4 linked regions of the Callithrix jacchus genome follow. The protein of the gene in region 1 interacts with the protein of each later gene in a biochemical or structural test. Links are inferred from orthologs where the notes say so. Each region holds a gene or a part of one and is shown in the gene's direction. Other genes may lie near its edges. The genes, in order: MAP1LC3A, ATG7, MAVS and PHB2.

The links.
Region 2: the proteins of MAP1LC3A (region 1) and ATG7 form a complex in vitro, tested with the Homo sapiens proteins (2 studies listed by BioGRID, with this or other methods). The link is inferred for Callithrix jacchus from reciprocal best matches to the Homo sapiens genes MAP1LC3A and ATG7.
Region 3: the proteins of MAP1LC3A (region 1) and MAVS form a complex in vitro, tested with the Homo sapiens proteins (2 studies listed by BioGRID and IntAct, with this or other methods). The link is inferred for Callithrix jacchus from reciprocal best matches to the Homo sapiens genes MAP1LC3A and MAVS.
Region 4: the proteins of MAP1LC3A (region 1) and PHB2 form a complex in vitro, tested with the Homo sapiens proteins (2 studies listed by BioGRID). The link is inferred for Callithrix jacchus from reciprocal best matches to the Homo sapiens genes MAP1LC3A and PHB2.

The regions. Positions count from the first base shown.
Region 1 is NC_133506.1:4,743,826-4,748,849, reverse strand, and holds MAP1LC3A (microtubule-associated protein 1 light chain 3 alpha), read left to right. Parts: upstream 1-1,912; 5' UTR 1,913-2,059; coding exon 2,060-2,099; intron 2,100-2,194; exon of another isoform or gene 2,195-2,263; coding exon of another isoform or gene 2,264-2,270; intron 2,271-2,422; coding exon 2,423-2,478; intron 2,479-2,566; coding exon 2,567-2,673; intron 2,674-2,955; coding exon 2,956-3,118; 3' UTR 3,119-3,535; downstream 3,536-5,024. Other genes in the region: GPI-anchor transamidase component PIGU, read right to left, coding at 3,943-4,056. UniProt on the Homo sapiens protein: Ubiquitin-like modifier involved in formation of autophagosomal vacuoles (autophagosomes). While LC3s are involved in elongation of the phagophore membrane, the GABARAP/GATE-16 subfamily is essential for a later stage in autophagosome maturation.
Region 2 is NC_133516.1:68,590,153-68,595,168, forward strand, and holds part of ATG7 (ubiquitin-like modifier-activating enzyme ATG7), read left to right. Parts: intron 1-1,068; coding exon 1,069-1,263; intron 1,264-3,773; coding exon 3,774-3,977; intron 3,978-5,016. UniProt on the Homo sapiens protein: E1-like activating enzyme involved in the 2 ubiquitin-like systems required for cytoplasm to vacuole transport (Cvt) and autophagy.
Region 3 is NC_133506.1:11,379,403-11,384,418, forward strand, and holds part of MAVS (mitochondrial antiviral-signaling protein), read left to right. Parts: intron 1-1,568; coding exon 1,569-1,741; intron 1,742-2,930; coding exon 2,931-3,090; intron 3,091-4,915; coding exon 4,916-5,016.
Region 4 is NC_133510.1:21,231,441-21,236,456, reverse strand, and holds part of PHB2 (prohibitin-2), read left to right. Parts: intron 1-197; coding exon 198-327; intron 328-438; coding exon 439-542; intron 543-611; exon of another isoform or gene 612-877; intron 878-965; coding exon 966-1,043; intron 1,044-2,030; coding exon 2,031-2,107; intron 2,108-2,364; exon of another isoform or gene 2,365-2,619; intron 2,620-2,819; coding exon of another isoform or gene 2,820-2,847; exon of another isoform or gene 2,848-3,174; intron 3,175-5,016.

The DNA.
Region 1 (5,024 bases):
TCACCATGTTGGTCAGGCTAGTCTCCAACTCCTGACCTAGTGATCAGCCTGCCTCGACCTCCCAAAGAGCTGGGCTTACAGGCGTGAGCCGCTGTACCCAGCTGCCATCTTTTTACTTTTGGTGCCCTTAGGTTTTAAATGTCCTCTTGTAAACAGCATAGAGCTGCATTTTATTTTTTCTTGGCCGATCTGGTAATCTGTGTTTTGAGAAATGAAGGTAAACCACATTTTCTGCCTCGGGTTTTGTACCATTTATTTACCATCCCTTTTACTTTGCTTTACTTTGCTATTAGTTTTAATACCCATCACCACCCTTTTCTCGGCATTGGCAGTTACAGTTCCGTTTCTACTCTTTTGATGATCCCTCTTAAATATCTGAAATACTCACCTAACTTTACAAAGCCTAACAATGCTCAGTCTCTTTACCCTTCCGAGAACACCTTAACTCTGCCCTCTCAGTCTTCCAAGTTCTTGCGTCTCATACATCTTGTTTCTGTAGCCCGCAAATTAATCATTATTCATGTTGCATATTACATGCTTGTTTAGATTTACTCACGTTTACCAATTTGCTCACCATTTTTCCATCTAATTTCTTCCTTTTCGGTTCCATGTGCTTGTTACTGAAGTACATTCTTTAAAAATTATTTCAGCTGCCGCACTCAGTGGCTCACGCCTGTAATCCAGCACTTTGGGAGGCGGAGACGGATGGATCACGAGGTCAGGAGATCAAAACTATCCTGGGCAACGTGGTGAAACCCCGTCTCTACTAAAAATACAAAATTAGCTGGGTGTGGTGTCACGTACCTGTAGTCCTAGCTACTCAGGAGGCTGAGGCAGGAGAAATCGCTTGAACCCGGGAAGTGGAGGTTGCAGTGAGCTGAGATTGCGCCAGTGCACTCCAGCCTGGGCGACAGAACGACTCAGTCCCACCCCCCAAAAATAATTTCAGCAACAGTCTTTCGTGTAAGCTCTTTGTCACCACCTATCTTTACTTCTTAACTCTTAAATCATGGATCAACACCTCGTTGACAGCATTTTTCCTGTCAACGAGGTGTAAAGCGTTACATTTTACTGTAGCCTTCTACGTTTGCTGCTGAGAAGTTTGTTATTGGTGTAATTTTTAAAATCCATCATCCTTGGTCGCTTTTAAAATCGCATAGTCTTTGGAGTTCTGCAGATTCACTAGCGTCCAGATGTTCATCTCCGGTGTTTGCATTCCACCCGATTTTAAGAATCACTTCTGGCAGCTCTCCTTCAGGAACTGCCTCTGCAGGGAGCTCTGCCCCGGCCTGTGAGATCTCCCGGCATTGCCATCCGTGGCTTTTTCCTTTTTATTCTCCATCACCTGTCTCTCTGGTGAGCTGCTTCCGATCAGCCTCCAGGTCCGCGCACTCTTTTCTGCTGTCCTACACCTCATCCTCCGAGACCTGAATTTCCATGGCTCTACTTGTCAATTCTAGAATTCCTTTGCAAACCTGGGCCTTCTTTTGTGATGTCTTGCTTGATCCTGTGCCTCCTGCACCTTCTCCCGTCTCTCGTCCTGAGCCCCTAGAAGGCGCCGGCTGTTTCCCACGGTGCCCAGAATCGCGCCAGGCCTGGCACAGACTCGGTGAGGGCGCGGGGAGCGGTGCCGCGGGGCTGCAGCCTGGCCCGCCCATTCCCTCAGCCCTTGGCAGCCCCGCCGCCCTCCAGGCCTCACCTGAGTTCCGCGCCGGGAGAGACTCCTGGGCCGGCCATGACGTCACAGGACTGTGACGCGCCCAGGAGCCCCGCCCCTCGCGTCCCGAGCCGGGGACCCAGGGGCTCTGCGCCGTGACGTCATGAGCCCGGGCGGGCAGGTTGTGCGTCGGCCCAATGGGAGCAGTGCGCCGGCCTCCCCTTTAAGGAATGTTGTGACCTGACGTCACCGGGCGAGTTACCTCCCGCAGCCGCCGCCGCCGCGCTCAGCGCGAGCCCCGGAGCCCTTCAGCGTGAGGCACGGAGCCCCCGGAGCCCCCAAACCGCAGCCACATCCCCACGTCCCAGAGCCCCGGCCTGCGCGCCCAACCGGGCCCGCGCGATGCCCTCAGACCGGCCTTTCAAGCAGCGGCGGAGCTTCGGTGAGGCCCCGCGGGCAAGCTGTGAGCTCGGAGCAGGGGTACGCGGGGGCCCGGCCGACCCCGACTACCGCGGGTGACGTCAGTCCTGTGACGTCAGGCCCCAGCCGGACCCTCGGGATGGGAGGCTGACTCCAGCCTGGGCGGAGGCCGCCCACCTCCCCACCATGATAGGTGCTAGGGGCTGTGGGGCCTGCCGGCCCCGGGGGCGGGGGCTGGAGCTGGGGCGGGGCCGGGGGCCGCCCCTTGGGGACAGGCGGGGCGGAGACACGGGGAGGACCTGGGCCCGGCTCAGCCCGGCCTCAAGGTCCGGCCGCCATCCGCAGCCGACCGCTGTAAGGAGGTACAGCAGATCCGCGACCAGCACCCCAGCAAGATCCCGGTGAGTCCGGTGCCCCCAGCCCTGCCCCGCCCTGGCCGCGCCTCGCGCGCCCCCGACACGAACCCCTGCCCGCCTGCCCCGCTCCCAGGTGATCATCGAGCGCTACAAGGGTGAGAAGCAGCTGCCCGTCCTGGACAAGACCAAGTTCCTGGTCCCGGACCATGTCAACATGAGCGAGTTGGTCAAGATCATCCGGTGCGTGGGCAGCCGCCGCCAGGAGGCAGCTTGGGTCTGGCGGGGAGCCGGGTTCCCGCCGAGAGGAGGTGGGAGTGGGGTCAGTAGTGATGGGACCAGGCGGTGGGCCCCTGTTCTGGCGCGGCTGGAAAGGTCAAGGTCGGGGCTGCAGTTGGAGTCGGGTCAGAGGTGAGAGCTGGGGTGAGGATGGATGTGAAAGGCTGGGAATCATTCTGGGGGTCAGGGCTGTGCCTGCCCTGCAGCCACGTCCCTCACAGCCGCACACCCTCCCGCCTGCCTCAGGCGCCGCCTGCAGCTGAACCCCACTCAGGCCTTCTTCCTGCTGGTGAGCCAGCACAGCATGGTGAGCGTGTCCACGCCCATCGCGGACATCTACGAGCAGGAGAAAGACGAGGACGGCTTCCTCTACATGGTCTACGCCTCCCAGGAAACCTTCGGCTTCTGAGCCAGCAGTAGGGGGGTCGGCCTGGGAGTGGGGGGAAGCCCGGTCAGGCCCTGCCCAGAGAACCCCTGGTTCCTGAACTGAGCTGCCTCTGCTTGGGGGTGGGCTGGGCAGGGATGTGGCCCCGTAGTCAGAGGGCACCAACCCACCTCCTCTGCCCCTAAGTGGTTTTGTTAGGGTTGCCCCTCTGGGTGCTGGCTGGGATGGGGGAAGGTGGGAAGCATCCCCCCACACTCCTGCTGTGTGGTTCATCTTTTTTTTTAGGCCCCTGCCTGCCCCTCACCCACCCGAGGCTCTGCCCACTACCTGGACCTGCCCACCCCTGAAAGACTGGCCCCCCCACCCCTCCATCTCCACATGGTGTATGGATCTGTGGTCATTGTCCCTCTGCAGAATAAAGATTGCTCAGGCCTGCCTGGCCCTATGCCTCCAGCTGCTTGCTTGGGAGTGGGGAGGGTGCTGGTGGGGCTGTCCGAACCGTCCCTGGGCTCTGACATACCAGAAACACACACCTGTGTGTACTTTCCAGAACATTAGGGGCCACCCCCAGGAGTGCAATGCAGATATGGGCCCAGGGTAGGTTTCGTAACAAAAAACATTTATTAAGTAGCCACAACCTAACAAGCCCTGCTCACCTGCCTTTTCCAGAGCTCCCAGTTCCTCCCCAGAGGTCTTGCAGTCAGCCATGGGTCCCTTTTGATACCAGAGACTTGTGACCCTGGACTTGAACCTCTTCTGCCCAAGGACTCGCCTGCTGGCAACTCTGGCTGGAGGGCCTGGCCCAGTTTCCCGCCCCTGAGGTCCATGCAGCCCTGTGCCAGCCAGGCCTACTTGAGCACAAGCATGGCCTCCGTGCCGTCCTTGGCCGTCAAATAGAGGCCGTGTGTGAGGTAGTACTCCCGCCGCAGGAAGGCATAGAAGTAATCAGAGATGAGCAGGATCTGGGGGGAGAGAGAGAGGATGTGAGGTGCTGCAGGGTACCACCCCGTGAACCCAGGACCCCTGAGAGGCTAGCAGGTGATGGGAGACAGAGCCCCTGCCTGGCCCTGAATCAACAATCACTGGAGAGGCCCTGCGCAGGGCCCCACCTTAGGGCCCGTACTTGACACTGCAAGGTCTGTTGGCCTCTCAGAAGCTGTCCAGACTCCCCGTGCCCCCACCCATGGTCTACACCTCCATCCTAAGCTCTGGCCTCGAATGCCAGCCTGGTGCCTGTGCAACCAGAGGCCTGTGCCCCCTCCTCTGACAGGCACTTCCACCCCAGCCAGGTCCACATCAAACTCACCTTCCCCCTGTCAAACCCACTTCTCCCACTGGGCATCCATGCCCCCATCTTCCATCCAGGTGCCCAGGCCACAAAATTGCCTGAGACGTCTCTCATACAACAAGCCACCATGACCTAAACTCAAATCTACCCTTTCGATACATCCCCACAGTCACTACTCTAGACAGCCACTGTCATCTAAATAGCAAAGCTTGGTCCCTGGGCTCCCTGCTCTCAAACTCACACCCACCCCATTCTCCCTGGCAGCCAGAGGGAGCTTTTCAAAACCCACATCTGGTCTTGTTACTTCCAGCCTTCAAATCCTCCAAAGGCTTCCCATGCCTTAGGGCAAAGCTCAAACTCCCTGGCGCTCTGAGACCTTGCCCAGGTCCCTGCCCACCCTCTTCCGGCTCCACCTAATCCCATTGCAGGATCTTTACTGTTTCTTCTGCCTGGAATGTTCTCTGCCCGTCCATCTAGTTGACAGCTGCTTACCCTTCAGGTCTCAGGAAGGATCACTTGCCCCCCTCCAGATTAGTTCTTAGCCCCACTAATCTCTATTCAGTAATACAGACTCATCCAAAGTACAATTTTCCATTCAGCTGACAGCCTGACTGTGCCTCCTCCCCTGGGCCTCCATCAGGG
Region 2 (5,016 bases), on another chromosome or scaffold:
AAGGGTGCAGTTTATGATTCTAGAACATATTCTTTTTTTGTGGAAAGTCAGTGTCCCTGGCTTCATTATTAGCACTCATATGTGACTCACTGTTAATGTGCCAAAATATTATGAGGTCATCAAGGGGCAGATGGCAGATTATAGAGCTGTTCTAAAGCCCGTGTAAAAAATCCCAATTCAGGGGAACTCAGGTTGCTGGACAGCTTCTGCATTTGGACAGAGTGAAGCCTTACTCTGTTCCACACTCTGCCATCACCCACCATAACTCCTTCCCCCACAAAAATATCTGCATACTCCTAAGTAGATTTTCTGGCTCTAAATTACCAAATAGAGTTTTTTGTTTTGGGGTTTTTTAAATGCATATACCCTTGAAGGATTAAGGCAAAATCATCAGTCATTCTAATCCCCAGCAATTTGGAGGCTGAGGCAGAAGGATTCCTTGAGCCCAGGAGTTCAAGACTAGCCTAAGCAACATAGTGAGGCCTTATTTCTATTAAAAATAAAAAAAATCAGCCAGGTGTGGTGACGTGTGCCTGTAGTCCCGGCTACTTGGGAAGCAGAGGTGGGAGGACCCCTTGAGCCCAAGAGGTCAAGGCTACAGTGAGCTGTGATTGTGCCATTGCCATCTAGCCTAGGTGACAGAGCAAGACCTTGTCTTTAAAAAAAAAAAAAAAAGAGGTACTTGAATAGCCAGAAGGTGCTCTGATAAAGTTTCTTGGCCTTGGATGGCTGGAAAGAGCCAAAGATACACAGTTTTCTCCAGTGTTTTCCTTACCTCAGGTAGAATGTGCCCTCTCTACTTTGGGACTGAGATCCGTATGTCTCTGCTTGCTGCCCCGCGCTGCCTGCCCTGCCCTGCCCTGCCTCAGAGCCCTGGGGTTATAAATCAAGGTGTTCTAGGATGCAGAGGTAAAGAAGAGAGACATGGGAAGGGTACAGCATAATAGTGCACAGGGAGATCTCATGTAAGCGACCACAAGTATGTGCAGGCAGCTGTGGAAAGTGTGGGCTCTGAGATAGTGCCTATACCATTGCTCCAGAGATAACTACATCCTGGTGTTTCCATAGAATGCCAGGGGATTCAACATGAGCATCCCCATGCCTGGGCATCCAGTGAACTTCTCCAGTGTCACTCTGGAGCAAGCCCGCAAGGATGTGGAGCAACTGGAGCAGCTCATCGAAAACCATGATGTTATTTTTCTGTTGATGGACACCAGGGAGAGCCGGTGGCTTCCTGCCGTCATTGCTGCAAGCAAGAGAAAGGTAGGTACTGTCTCCGATTACGATTTAATACACCACCACCCCAGAGGAAGGAGTGTCCCTAACCTTCCCTTCCCCAGGGCAGAGATGTGGCTTGTGACCTGGTAGCACAGTGCCAAAGGGCTTCTGCTTCAGACTGTCTTTGCCTTGCACACCATCACCCAATGTAATAGGTATCATTTACTGCTTAATTTTCATAATAATCTTCTAAGATACTCTACACTGAAAGGTATACTGTATTTACATTAAAATGTAAGCTCCAAGAGGTCAGAGACTTTGTCTTATTCACTACTACTTGGTCAATGACAACTAAAAGGGCCAACAGTATTCAATAGTGAACTAAATCATGGTGCATACCTATAATGGAATAGTATGCAGCTATTCACAGTTATGTTTTCAAAGGATTTTAATAAGATGGAAAATGTCACATTATATTAAAGAAGATACAATATGATATATATTTTGTACTAATTATGTTTATATATAAACATTTATATATGTCTTCCTATCTGTCTACTGAGAGAGAAGAGAGGAAGAGGGCAAGAAGAAAAGAGAAAGAGAAAGAATGGGAGGGAAAGGGAGAAAATAGTAGGAAGAAATACCCCAAATTATTAATAGTAATTTTTTGAGCTGTGGGTTGTGAGTGATTTTTGTTTTCTTTTGTAGTGTGGTTATTCTTTATTTTTCAAAGTTTCTATATAATCAGAAATTTGGGATAATAAGTTAAATTAGAACTATGAAAAGTTGTTAGAATATAATTTAAAAATAGTTTCTAAAAAAATCCATGTGTTGGGCTGGACATGGTGGCTCACATCTGTAATCCTAGCACTTTGGGAAGATTGCTTGACCCAGGAGTTTGAGACTAGACTGGGCAACATGGTGAGACTGTCTCCACAAAAAAAGACAAAAAATTAGCAAGGTGTGTTAGTACACACCTGTGCTCCTAGGTACTTGGGAGGCTGAGTTAGGAAGATCACTTGAGCCTGGGAGGTAGAGGCTGCAGTGAACTGAGATCATGCCCATTGCAGTCCAGTCTGTGCAACAGAGGGAGATCCTGTCTCAAAAAAAGAAACAAAAAAGAAAACTACACGGAGCCAGGCATGGTGGCATGTGCCTGTAAGTCCAGCTACTGGGATACCAAAAAAAAAAAAAAAAATTGGGCCAGGTGCAGTGGCTCATGCCTGTAATCCCAGCACTTTGGGAGGCTGAGGTGGGCAGATCACAAGGTCAAGAGATCAAGACCATCCTGGCCAACATGGTGAAACCCCGTCTCTACTAAGAATAGAAAAATTAGCTGGGTTTGGTGGCACACACCCAGCTACTCAGGAAGCTGAGGCAGGAGAATCACTTGAACTGAGGAGGCAGAGGTTTCAGTGAGCCGATATTGTGCCACTGCACTCCAACCTGGGCGGCAGAGCGAGACTCTGTCTCAAAAAAAAAAAAAAAAAGTCTATGTGAAGGGTGGATTATATGGTATGTGAATTATATCTCAGTAAAGCTGTTATAAAAACAGATCTAAGCCAGGCACGGTGGCTCATACCTGTAATCCCAGCACTTTGGGAGGCCGAGGCTGGGTGATCACTTGAGGTCAGGAATTCAAGATAAGCCTGGCCAACATAGCAAAACCCCGTCTCTACTAAAAGTATAAAAATTAGCCAGGTGTAGTAGTGGGTGCTTGTCATCCCAGCTACTTGGGAGGCTGAGGCAGGAGACTCACTTGAACCTGGGAGGCAGAGGTTGCAGTGAGCCAAGACTGTGCCATTGCACTTTAGTCTGGGCAACAAGAGCGAAACTCCATCTCAAAAAAAAAAAAAAAAATCTGTGTGGACATGACAGTATAGCATAATGGTGGAAAGAATGGGTTTGAGAACTATGTAGACTTGGTTTTACATACCTACCTCTTGCCAGTTAAGTGACCTTGGGCAAGTTATAGAACTAACTTCTCTGACTTTCAGTATCCTCATCTGTAAATGAGAAATGTTTGTTATGAGGTTTTTTTTGTTGTCGTTGATAGAATCTTGCTTTGTTGCCCAGGCTGGAGTGCAGTGGCATAATCTCGGCCCACTACAACCTCCACCTCCCGGGTTCAAGCGTTTCTCGTGCCCCTGCCTCCTGAGTAGCTGGGACTACTGCTCAGCTAATTTTTTGTATTTTTAGTAGAGACAGTGTTTCATCATGTTGCCAGGCTGGTCTTGAACCCCTGAGCTCAGACAGTCTGCCTGCCTCGGCCTCCCAAAGTGCTGGGATTAATTACAGGTATGAGCCACCATGCCAGGTCTGTTAGGAGTTTCAAATGAAATTAAATGAGATAATTTATGTTTATCACTTATCAAGTCTTTTGTACTTAATAAGCCCTCAGTAGTGGGTAGCTTTTATCATCATTAGCTTTTAGAATCTAATTACACTTACATGCAAAAAATAAATTTTAAAAAGTTGAGCAAATATGGGATTAGCCACAGTTTGTGGCTATATGTGTTTTTTAACTCTGCTCTTTTATTCCTTGAAACCTGTAGCTGGTCATCAATGCTGCTTTGGGATTTGACACATTTGTTGTCATGAGACATGGCCTGAAGAAACCAAAGCAGCAAGGAGCTGGGGACTTGTGTCCAAACCACCCTGTGGCATCTGCTGACCTCCTGGGCTCATCACTTTTTGCGAACATCCCTGGTTACAAGCTTGGCTGTTACTTCTGCAATGATGTGGTGGCCCCAGGAGATGTAAGTGGATTTCTCTATAGTTTCAAATATTTCCTATGACCAACTTGTGCACTGGGCAGACAGACACAGCCCTTTCACTTATGACTATTTAAAAATTATCTTTTAACAAAGAGAAGAATTCTCCAATTTGGGGAGGATGGTATTCTCTCACTATGAACCTTGACTAGTGTCATCAACTGTACAGCTGTTCCTTGTTCACCAATACAAAGGCAGCTACAAACCATATTTTTGGAAAGCTTATTGAGGAAACCACAGCCGACTAGTCCCTGATAGCACTCAGTATTGTCTCCTGTGTTTCTCTTAGTCAAGACAGTATTAGAAATGAGGAGTCTAAAGACCAGATTCCATCAATGGCTTGACACTGCCTCCTAGGTAATTCCAAAAAGTCTCTTAGGTTCCCTCTGCCTCTGCAAAATAGGAGTGGTGTGGAGGCTTGTCAGATTTAGTAAGTAAAAGTATAGGATTCCCAGCTAATTTTGAATTTCAGTTAGTAATGAATAATTTTTTAGTATATGTCCCATATAATATTCAAGACCCATTTATACTAAAAATTTATTTATCTGAAATTCAGGTTTAGCTAAGTGTCTTGTATTTTCCCTGGCAATGCTAATAAGGCAAGGGAGAATACTTTCCCTGTCAACTCACAGTGCAAAGTGGGTCAAGTGCATCAATGCTTTGAACAGCAAGACCACACCGTACAAATTAAGAGTCTATGGCTTTCAGGTCTTCATACAAGTCAGTCTGTAGGGCTATTCCTTTATCAGAACCGATAATAATTCCAGGAAAGCAATGCAGAGATGTTTTCTGTAAACTCCCCTCTATTTTACCTTTGTTTTAAAACATTTTCCTTAATAGCTCATACCTCTTTTGGATAACTGGCTTTTATGTCCTCCCAATATAAAGAAAAGAAGATGACCATTCTCTTATATGAAGAAGGATGGCTTGATGATCTCTGTCATGGTGTTATAATATACAGCTGGTTTTTTTATTTAGTTGTTGCCAACAAAGTATGATTAGTGGTCCCTTGCAGTAAAGTCCC
Region 3 (5,016 bases), about 6.6 Mb from region 1:
TAAGCGATTCTCCTGCCTCAGCCTCCTGAGTCACTGGGATTACAGGCACTCGCCATCATGCCCAGCTAATTTTTATATTTTTGTAAAGATAGGGTTTCACCATGTTGGCCAGGCTAGTCTTGAACTTGTGACCTCAGGTGATCCACCTGCCTCAGCCTCCCAAAGTGCTGGGGTTTCAGGTCTGAGCCACCACACCCAACCCCTGGTCACATTTATAACTGTGGGAAATCCATGTTTTCTTTTCTTTCTCTCTCTCTCTCTTTATTTTCTCCATTTTAGAGACAGAGTCTTGCTCTGTCAAGCTGGAGAGCAGTGGTGCAATCATAGGTCACTTCCACCTTGACTTCCTGGGCTCAAGCAATCCTTCCACCTCAGCCTCCAGAGTAGCTGGGACTACAGGCATGTGCCACCACACTTGGCTAATTTTCAGAATTTTTTTGTAGAGATGAGGTCTCACTATGTTGCCCAGGCTGCTCTTGAACTCCTGGGCTCAAGAGGTTGGCCTCCAGGAGTGCTGGGATCATAGGTGTGAGCCACCGTGTCTGGCTCTCATGTTTGCTTTTCTTTCCTTTTTCTCCTCCTTGCTTCCCCCCTCTTTCTTCTTCCCTTCCTCTCTTTCTTCCTTCCTTTTCCCTCCTTCTTTTTAACTATGTCTCTTGATGTATGGAGATTATTAATAGTGATCCCCTGACTACAATGGCTGTGGAAGGGCCTGATGGGTGGTGGAGGCAAAGGGGAGGGGCTGAGGCGGCAGCATCAGGGCAGGGGTCAGTGAGCAATGACAGCCATGTGGAGGAGAAAGCCACTGGGTCCCAGGATGTCTGGGGACAGAGGAGGGTGACTGCTGACATGGTCTGGGTGGTGAGAGACCCATGATGCCCCCCCCGCACACTCCCCCTGCTCCCTTGCTCCCTTGTCCTCCAACTGCTCTCTCCTTCCCACTCCTGCCCCCTTGCCAGTGATGCTTGTTACTCTGAGGAGTGGACCCACATCAGAACAGCTTTTGGACCTATGGGTGGGACAGGGGGGTGTACCCAAGAGCACCCAAGCCTCTTCCATCATGAGGAATACCTCTGATTCCTTCTTTTCTTTTTTTTTTTTTTGAGACGGAGTCTCAGTCAGTCACCTAGGGTAGAGTGCAGTGGTGTGACTTTGGCTCACCGCAGCCTCTGCCTCCCAGGTTCAAGTGGTTGTCCTGCCTCAGCCTCCCTGTAGTTCCTGATTCCTTCTTTCCACCCTGCCTCCGCAGAGCAAGATGGAATCTTGTTCTGTTGCCCAGGCTGGAGTACAGTGGTGCAATCTCAGCTCACTGCAGCCTCCGCCTCCCAGCTTCAAGCAATTCTGCCTCAGCCTCCCAAGTAGGTGGATTACAGGCACGCACCACCATGCCCCACTAATTTTTGTATTTTTAGTAGAGATGGGGTTTTACCATGTTGACCAGGCTGGTCTCAAACTCCTGACTTCCCAATCTACCCACCTTGGCCTCCCAAAGTGCTGGAATTATAGGCATAAGCCACAGCACCCAGCCCCTGATTCCTTCTTGATATCACTGCATCTTTGTCCTCCAGGGACCCCGGAACATCCTCCAGCCCCACTGGAGCCACCGTCAGTTTCTGCTGAGGTACCAGGACCCTCCACGCCTGCTGCAGCCCACAGCATCCCCTACAATGGCTATAGAGAGAAGGAGCCAAGCTACCCCATGCCTGTCCAGGAGTCCCAGCCGCCAGAGTCCCTGGAAGAGGTCTGTCCTCACAGTCCACCTTGAGCCACCTGCTTTTGCATTCCTGTCTGCCCACTTCTGCCCATGAGCCTTCCTCCAGAAACCCCCTCCTGTCCACTATAAATTATGCCTAATCTCTGCTCAGAAACCCAAGGCTTCCTTAGTGGAGTTCTGCCCCAGACCAGCTTCCAGACTGCTGACCAGGTTTTCACCCTGTGGCAGTCTAATCCTCTGTCACCAACCAGCTGGGAGATGACAGGTTTTTTTGTTTTTTTTTGTTTTGAGACAGTGTCTCATTCTGTCACCCAGGCTGGAGTGCAGTGGAGCGATCTTGACTCACTGCAAACTCCGCTTCCTGGGTTCAAGTGATTCTGCTGCCTCAGCCTCCTGAGTAGCTGGGATTACAGGCACCCACCATGATGCTGTCTAATTTTTGTATTTTTAGTAGAGATGGTGTTTTGCCATGTCAGCCAGGCTGATCTCAAACTCCTGGCCTCAGGTGATCTGCCCACCTTGGCCTCCCAAAGTGCTGGGATTACCAGTGTGAGCCACCGCCCCTGGCTGGAGACCACCACAGTTTTGAGGTCTTTGCAATGTTCCATATGAGATGTTGCATTGGGTGGAGGAACCCAGGGAGGGGCCAGATGAGGGAGAGTGAGGGAGCAGGCAATTATGGGAGCAGGGGTGATTGGCGGGACTGTCATTATTGCCAAAAGGTCAAGTTTGGGGGAAAGATGACCGATTCTATGAAGATAAATGAGTGGGCAGTGGGGTGTCCAGGAGACACCAAACCATGAACCTGAAGCCTAAGAAAGGGATCTGTGATCCCCTGAACACAGTGGCTGTGGTAGGGATAGGATGAATGGAGGTGGGAAAGGGGAGGGACAGAGAAGGCAGCATCAGGGCAGGGATCAGCTAGCGGTGACAGCCATGAGGAGAAAACCAGTGGCTGCCGAGAGGGAGATCTTTCTTCAGGGCCACACAGTTAGACAGGGAGTCGCCCAGGGATGCTGTGTGTTTTCTGTGAGGTAAATGCAAGGACACCTGTGGACAGAGGGTCTGGCAATTACCAGAACCCAAGCAATGGCTCCCTGGCTCCTGTGCTTCATGGTGTGGGCTGAGGTCTGTAGGAGACGTCCCAAAAGCACAAGCTGCCCTTTGCGAGCTCTTGGGAGAGGTAACTGCCTTATTCATATTTTCCCTCTTGCAGAGTTCAGAGCAAGCCCCGCAGATGCTCAGTCCCGGAGCCATCCCAAGGAGGCTGGGTGGTGGCCCTGTGGAGCCCTCCGCTGACCTGGCAGCCCTTAGCCCTGTGACCTCCAGTGGGCATCAGGAGCAGGACACAGAACTGGGCAGTACCCACACAGCAGGTATGCATGGAATCTGGAATTATAGGGCCCGTCCGATCTCTCAAGTGAAGGCGAGAATTAGAGATGCCCCTCTGGCTTCCTTGAATAGGAGGCAAGGTGGGAATAAAGGGAGTTCAATGCAGGAAGCAAACCAGTTCCTTATAGGGTGTATCAGTTAGCATTTGCTGTGTAACAAATAGTCCACTCCAGTTTTCCAATTTTTGTTTTTTTTATTAGCTTAAAATGCAGCCATTTATTTAGCACATGATCCTGTGGGTCAGCTATTTGGGCTACCTATCTGGGAAGTTCTTCTGGTCTTGGCTGAAATTCTTCTCAAGTACTCACTGGTATATATATAAGTTCTGCCTCTGGCTATTGGCTGAACACCTTGGTTCTCTTCTTTGTAGTCTCTTGTCCTCCAGCACACAAATCCATCATGGCTGCTGGGCGGAGTTCTGAGACAGACAAGAGAGGGCTCAAAACTAGCACAATGTCCCTGTGCCCCATTCTGTGGGCAAAAACAAGTTATAAGGCCAGCCTAGATTCAAGGAATAGGGAAATAGACTCCCTCTCTAGACAGGAGGACTGACTGGGACAGCGCAGAGGGGCTGGGTGGAGGTGGGCGAGATAAGTAGGGCCGTTTTTGCACTCTGTCAAAGAGACTGTAGGGAGCAACCAGGGCCTGGAGGGCGGTGGGAGAGGGACAGTGCAGGCCTGCACCAGCTATTGGCAGGGAGGCCTTTAGGCACTGCCTTACCACAAAGAGATCGCAATTCCCAGTGAATCCCAAAAACTTCTCAGTCCCCAGAGGAAGTAAGGTCATCATCCAGGGGCCTGGACCCCACTCCAGACCTCAGTGCTCCCCTCAGAAATATATAGTTGTCCGCCTGGACCTCTCAGGCTAGCATGTCTCTCTCCTGCTTTCCAAACTGTTTCACATGACGCTGGTGCCCCGTCAGCCCTCAGTGCCCTGGGACAGCCACAAGGCACATGAGCAGTTAAAGGCTAGGAGACATCATCTCAGTACTTTTGTCATCCCCAAACTGCTCCAGGCACCTGTCTCTGCTTTGCAGTGTCACCTGGCCATGGGATGCCTTTTGGGAGTTGCTGTAGACTATGGAGACAGAAGGTGATTAGGTTTCAGTAGGTCTGTAGACACAGGTCCCGTGAGATTCTATGGTGTGAGATTGTGGTGGTTGGGGTGTACATCGGAATCACCTTGACCTGTGCCAGCTGTGGGGCCTGGCATGTGCATTCCAAGTTCCATGGAGAATCCTGCTGCAACCCTTTATAGACCATCACCACCTGCTACACCCTGCTTCCCCAACACGGGTCAGGCAGCCTCCCAGGGGTGGCTTTGTCCATGTCCCCGCTCTTCCCAAGCCTCTGGGATGGCCGGGCCTCTCGGCTGGTCTGAGCTGTTCTGCCTAAGCCATCCTGCCACCCCTCACCCTGTTTCAGGGCTGTTCCCACTCGTGGTGCTGGAGGAGGGACAGCAGTGGGGGAAGTATCCAGGATTCCATGAGGCTAAGGTCAAGGGGAGGCTTCCCAGGTGGGAGAGGAAAAAGCAGAGAGAATAATAAATAATGATCTTCAAGCTCCAAGGTACCATTTCACTGTGTGTCAGGGTAGACCTGGGGGTACAGATCAAGGACTGAGGGCAGCTGTTGGGCTTTCAGGCTGGGAAGCAGTGACCAAAGGGACTGTGGCATCTCCTCCAAGGGCAACAGATTTGGAGGCCTAAATGCAGTAGGAACCATGAGACCTGGAGCAGAGGGACCCTTCTCCAGGCCTGAAGGTAACAGTCTTTGAGTCTGTGTTTCCACTTGTGTTTTACCACCTGCAGGTGCAACCTCCAGCCTCACACCATCCCGTGGGCCTGTGTCTCCATCTGTCTCCTTCCAGCCCCTGGCCCGATCCACACCCAGGGCAAGCCGCTTGCCTGGA
Region 4 (5,016 bases), on another chromosome or scaffold:
TCTCATCTGTCACATGAAAAGATTGAATCAAGTCCCTTCCAACTCAGATATTGTGGTGAGGCACTGAGGAAGGGTTGATGATTTTTCTGCCATTCTCAGGAGATCTGTTGTTAAGATGGTCACACAACACAACTTTCCTTTCAGTTCTCCAGTCCCCTCAAACCACCCTGCCCTTTCCCTCCTCACCCCCCACCCAGGTATCCCTGTTGATCCGCCGGGAACTGACAGAGAGGGCCAAGGACTTCAGCCTCATCCTGGATGATGTAGCCATCACAGAGCTGAGCTTTAGCCGAGAGTACACAGCTGCTGTAGAAGCCAAACAAGTGGGTGAGTCGCAAGAGCAGTGGGGCGAGGGCTTCCGAGGTGCAGGAGGAGGAAAGACTCCATGAAGGGGCTCCTGACCCAGGACCGGGTCTACCTGACTCTCTCCCACCACAGCCCAACAGGAGGCCCAGCGGGCCCAGTTCTTGGTAGAAAAAGCAAAGCAGGAACAGCGGCAGAAGATCGTGCAGGCCGAGGGTGAGGCCGAGGCTGCCAAGATGATATCTTTCTGCTGGAGAGATCTCAGCCCAACCCATAGGGCACCTGTGTTCCCCATCCTCCTTAATGGGCAGGCTGATGAGACTAAGGCGAATGCGACTCCGTGCCCTCCGGCCCTTGGCTCCTTGGGGGTGGGGACTACAGATGAGATCTGAAATCTTGGTGGGGGTAGCCAAGGCCTGACTCCCCACTGTAAGGCCAGATCAATAGCATTGCTGGCCTCGCCTTCATTTCTGCTGCTGCCCTCAGTTCCTGGCAGCAGCCTACAGGGAGGCCCACAGGTGGGGTCCAAGGTAGGGCTGGGCCAAGTCACCTGAGCGCAACCTTGGATCTGACAGCCCAGAGGAGGACTGCAGCAAGGGAGTGTGGTAAGGATGGGGCCAGGGATTGAGGCCTGCCCTTGTGTGAACCTTAACTCTACTCACCTTGGAGAAGCTCTGAGCAAGAACCCTGGCTACATCAAACTTCGCAAGATCCGGGCAGCCCAGAATATCTCCAAGACGGTGAGCGTGTCAGCCTGGCATCTCTGATGTGGCTGTCTTGTGAGAAAGTGCTTTCAGCACACTGAAGTGAGGGAATTCGAATCTTGCTTGTTCGGGTTTCTACTCAGATTGGCTTCTCTAGCCGGGTGCAGTGGCTCATGTCTGTAATCCCAGCGCTTTGGGAAGCCAAGGCCGGCAGATCACCTGAGGTCAGGAGTGCAAGACCACTCTGGCCAACATGGTGAAACCTCATTTCTACTAAAAGTACAAAAAAAAAAGAGCCAGGCATGGTGGCATGCAGCTGTAATCCCAGTTAGCTACTCAGGAGGCTGTGGCAAGAGAATCACTTGAACCTGGGAGGCAGAGGTTATAGTGAGCTGAGATGGTGCCACTATACTCCGGCCTTGGCAACAGAGCAAGACTGTCTCAAAAAAAAAAAAAAAAAAAAAAAAAAAATTGGCTTCTCTGCATCTTTTCCCCTCATCAAGAATGATTCCTCTGGGGCCGGGCATGGTGGCTCACGCCTGTAATCTCAGCACTTTGGGAGGCCGAGACGGGTGGATCACGAGGTCAAGAGATCGAGACCATCCTGGTCAATGTGGTGAAACCCCGTCTCTACTAAAAATACAAAAATTAGCTTGGCATGATGGCACACGCCTATAGTCCCAGCTACTCGGGAGGCTGAGGCAGGAGAATTGCTTGAGCCCAGGAGACAGAGGTTGCGGTGAGCCGAGATAGCGCCATTGCACTCCAGCCTGGGTAACAAGAGCGAAACTCCATCTCAAAAAAAAAAAAAAAAAATTATTCCTCTGGGTTCCCTAACCTTTTGTTCTTGCCTCTTTATGGTGCCAATAATCATAGCTGCTGCTCACTGCTCTGGATCCCTGAATAAGAGCAGAAACCACATCTTATTCATTGCTGTGTTCCATTAAGTGGCTACTGAATTGCAGGGGTTGGAATTGAGGTCTTTGCTCAATGTAAGCATCTGTCTTATTTCCTCCCCTGTAGATCGCCACATCACAGAATCGCATCTATCTCACTGCTGACAACCTTGTGCTGAACCTACAGGATGAAAGTTTCACTCGGTGAGAGATGTGACCACACAGTGGGGCATCACAAGAACGTGGGACTTGAGTCTGGTTGCTTGGGCTCTGGAGCCTGCTACAGCTGTTCATATGGCTCAGAGAGACACTGAACCAAAATTAGAAAAGGGAGTGGTTGGCAGTTTTTATCCTGCATCTCATAGGATTGATTTTATGAGATCAATAGGATTATTCACATAAAAAGCACTTTAATTGTAAAGTCTTTATCTAACCGCGAAGTGATGAAAGATGGTACTCAGTTTCCTTACTCAGGAGCCCTAGAACTGCTCAGGTGCATGGAAGGATGCTAGGGAAGGAGACCAGAGATAGCAGTGGCCATGAGAAACGCCGCCTCCTCTCATGGGCCTGAGATTCCTGGCTGCCGGCCCTGTTCCTCTGTTGTCCTGGGAGCAAAGGAGGGTTCAAAGCTGAGTGGGGCCTGAAGCTGTCAGTTAACATGTGCATTTCTCTTCTCTGTTTCCTGTTCATCTGGTGATCTGGCACCACAGAGGAAGGTAAGTTGTTGCTGCATCCTTGTTCCTGTGGGGTCCTGCAGGCCACCTTCTCCCAATACCTGCCTTCTACCCCACTGCCTTTTCCTACCTCCCCACAGACAAACCCTCAATGGGGCAGGAGGGTCGTTGAGGGAATGGCCTAGTGTCTTGCCTGTCACATTTATGTCCCCTAATAATGTCATCATCTGTCTTTCCTACAGTGACAGCCTCATCAAGGGTAAGAAGTGAGCCTAGTCACCGAGAACTCCATCCCCAGAGGAAGTGGATCTGCTTCTCCTGTTTTTGAGGAGCCAGCCTGGGGTCCAGCACAGCCCTACCCCCACCCCAGTATCATGCGATGGTCCCCTGTACCCGTTCCCCGAACCCCTCTTGGATTAAGGAAGACTGAAGACCAGCCCCTTTTCTGGGGAATTACTTTCCTCCTCCCTGTGTCGGCCGGGGATGTTGGGACAGTGTGTGATTTCTCAGTGATTTCCTACAGTGTTGTTCCCTCCCTCAAGGCTGGGAGGAGATAACCACCAACCCAGGAATTCTCAATAAATTTTTATTACCTAAGCTGAAGTCAGTGCTTCACATGGTCATGAGCAGCACGCATGCGCAGTCACATAGGCACTCCTGGGGCCGTCTTTGTGTCTGCCAGCAGAGGGCGCAAAAGACTCTGACTGGGGCAGCTAAGGGGAAGCAGGGCCTGGGCTCCAAAACGACCTAAGCTGGAAAGGCTGGCCCTGGGGTCTAGAGGCCCAGCTGCACTCTTCACCCCACCCTCCATTTCTCCCACATCACCCTTTTTTTTTAGAGCTGGAGCAGCTGTGGCTTTGCTGAGCCAGATTAAAAATCTGATGACCCCAACAGGAGCTGCTTTCTTGGTAGCAGAGTTCCATGTGGTTCTGGGGAGCCTGCCTGTGCCTGTGGAGGGGCTTCTGTGCCTAGAAGCCCAGTGGATCCCATGGCCTGATGTGGGCCACCAGATTCCATTTCTCAGTCACCAGGCGTGAGGAGCTACTCACTAGCAGGGCTCTCTGTGAAGGTGGGCTTGTCACTCCCTCAGCTCTGGGGCCAACAGAACAGGTGCCTGTTGAGTCCACAGATAAGCTGACACTTCTTCCCAAGACAGCCCTTCCTGAATCTCAAGCAACAGAGAAACCAAGTCACCGTTTATACCTGAATCTCCCACTACGGCCCATTTCCCATCCCTACAGGGAGACAAGGAAAGTTTAGAACTCTAAGGCGAAACCTGGGGATAAAGTATGTGCAGGAACTACCAAATGCAGATAGGGCAGCAGTGGATCTGAACAGAGGGACTGAGTTAATCTGCTTCGATTTTTAGGATGTTTTTCTCTGCTTAGGGTTGAGTATCATGAAAGACGAAGCAGATACCGCAGCCCCAATCCCGAGTTACCGTGCAGCTAAGATGAGATCAACAGTGGGACAAAAGACAGGTCAAGTGACCTGGATCAATCTTCCTCATGTTCCTAGTCACACTTTATTTATTTCATGTTTCCAAGGGGAAGACAATGGAGGTGCCTGGGGAACCAGTGTTTCCAAATCTTGCTGCAGCTGTAGAGGCAGCCATTTTGTCTCCTTCCCATTGTTCCCCTTTGCCTAGTGATCCGTCCCCCATCCGGAGGGGTAAAGATCAGAGGTCGTTGGTCAGTAGGCCTCCATGGTCTTCAGGGCTCCCTGAAAGTTACAGCCGAAAGAACCGACCCGGGGGCCATCTTTACCAGACAGTGTTAGGAGCTTCACAATTAGACCATCCAACACTGTACTGGAAGATGGACCCAGGGCGGGCCAATGGAGAGCTACGGCGAGAACGCTCCAGCTGCTACAGGGACCCTGGCCACAGGCCAGGTGAGGTCTCCTGACGGGGCGAGCCGATCCCAAGCTCAAGGTCGACTGTGGGTTCTGGATCCACTAGGTGACAAACCGCACTGGGTGGGAGGAGGGGCCGGGGCCCATTGTGTCCCTGAGTGGCAGCCAGCCAACGAGAGCCACCCCTGGTGCCGCACTCTCAGCTCAAGACTAGGGCTTCTGAGGGGCGTGGGAAGTGGGGAGAGGGCTGCAGCCAGCTAAGTCTTGGGGACCTGACTCCATGGATGTCGCTGACACAGGGGCAGGGGCCTCCATCATTACCCGGCAGTATTAGAGACTCCCAACCGCACCCAAACACTGCTGGGTAAGACGAGGGCCCCCACCCAGCCTGCCCACCTTGGGTCAGGAAGCTTCAGGCCCAGGTGCCCTGCGGAGAAGCTGCAGATCCCTGACTCCCATCCCCCCACCACCACCCGAGTCCCTGGGGACACTTCCGGGTGAGCCTGCTGCCTGCCACCAGCCCCACCCTGGGTCGCTCGTCGCTAGGCCCAGGCTGCGGCCCAAGCAGGCCTTCTGCAGCCCCTC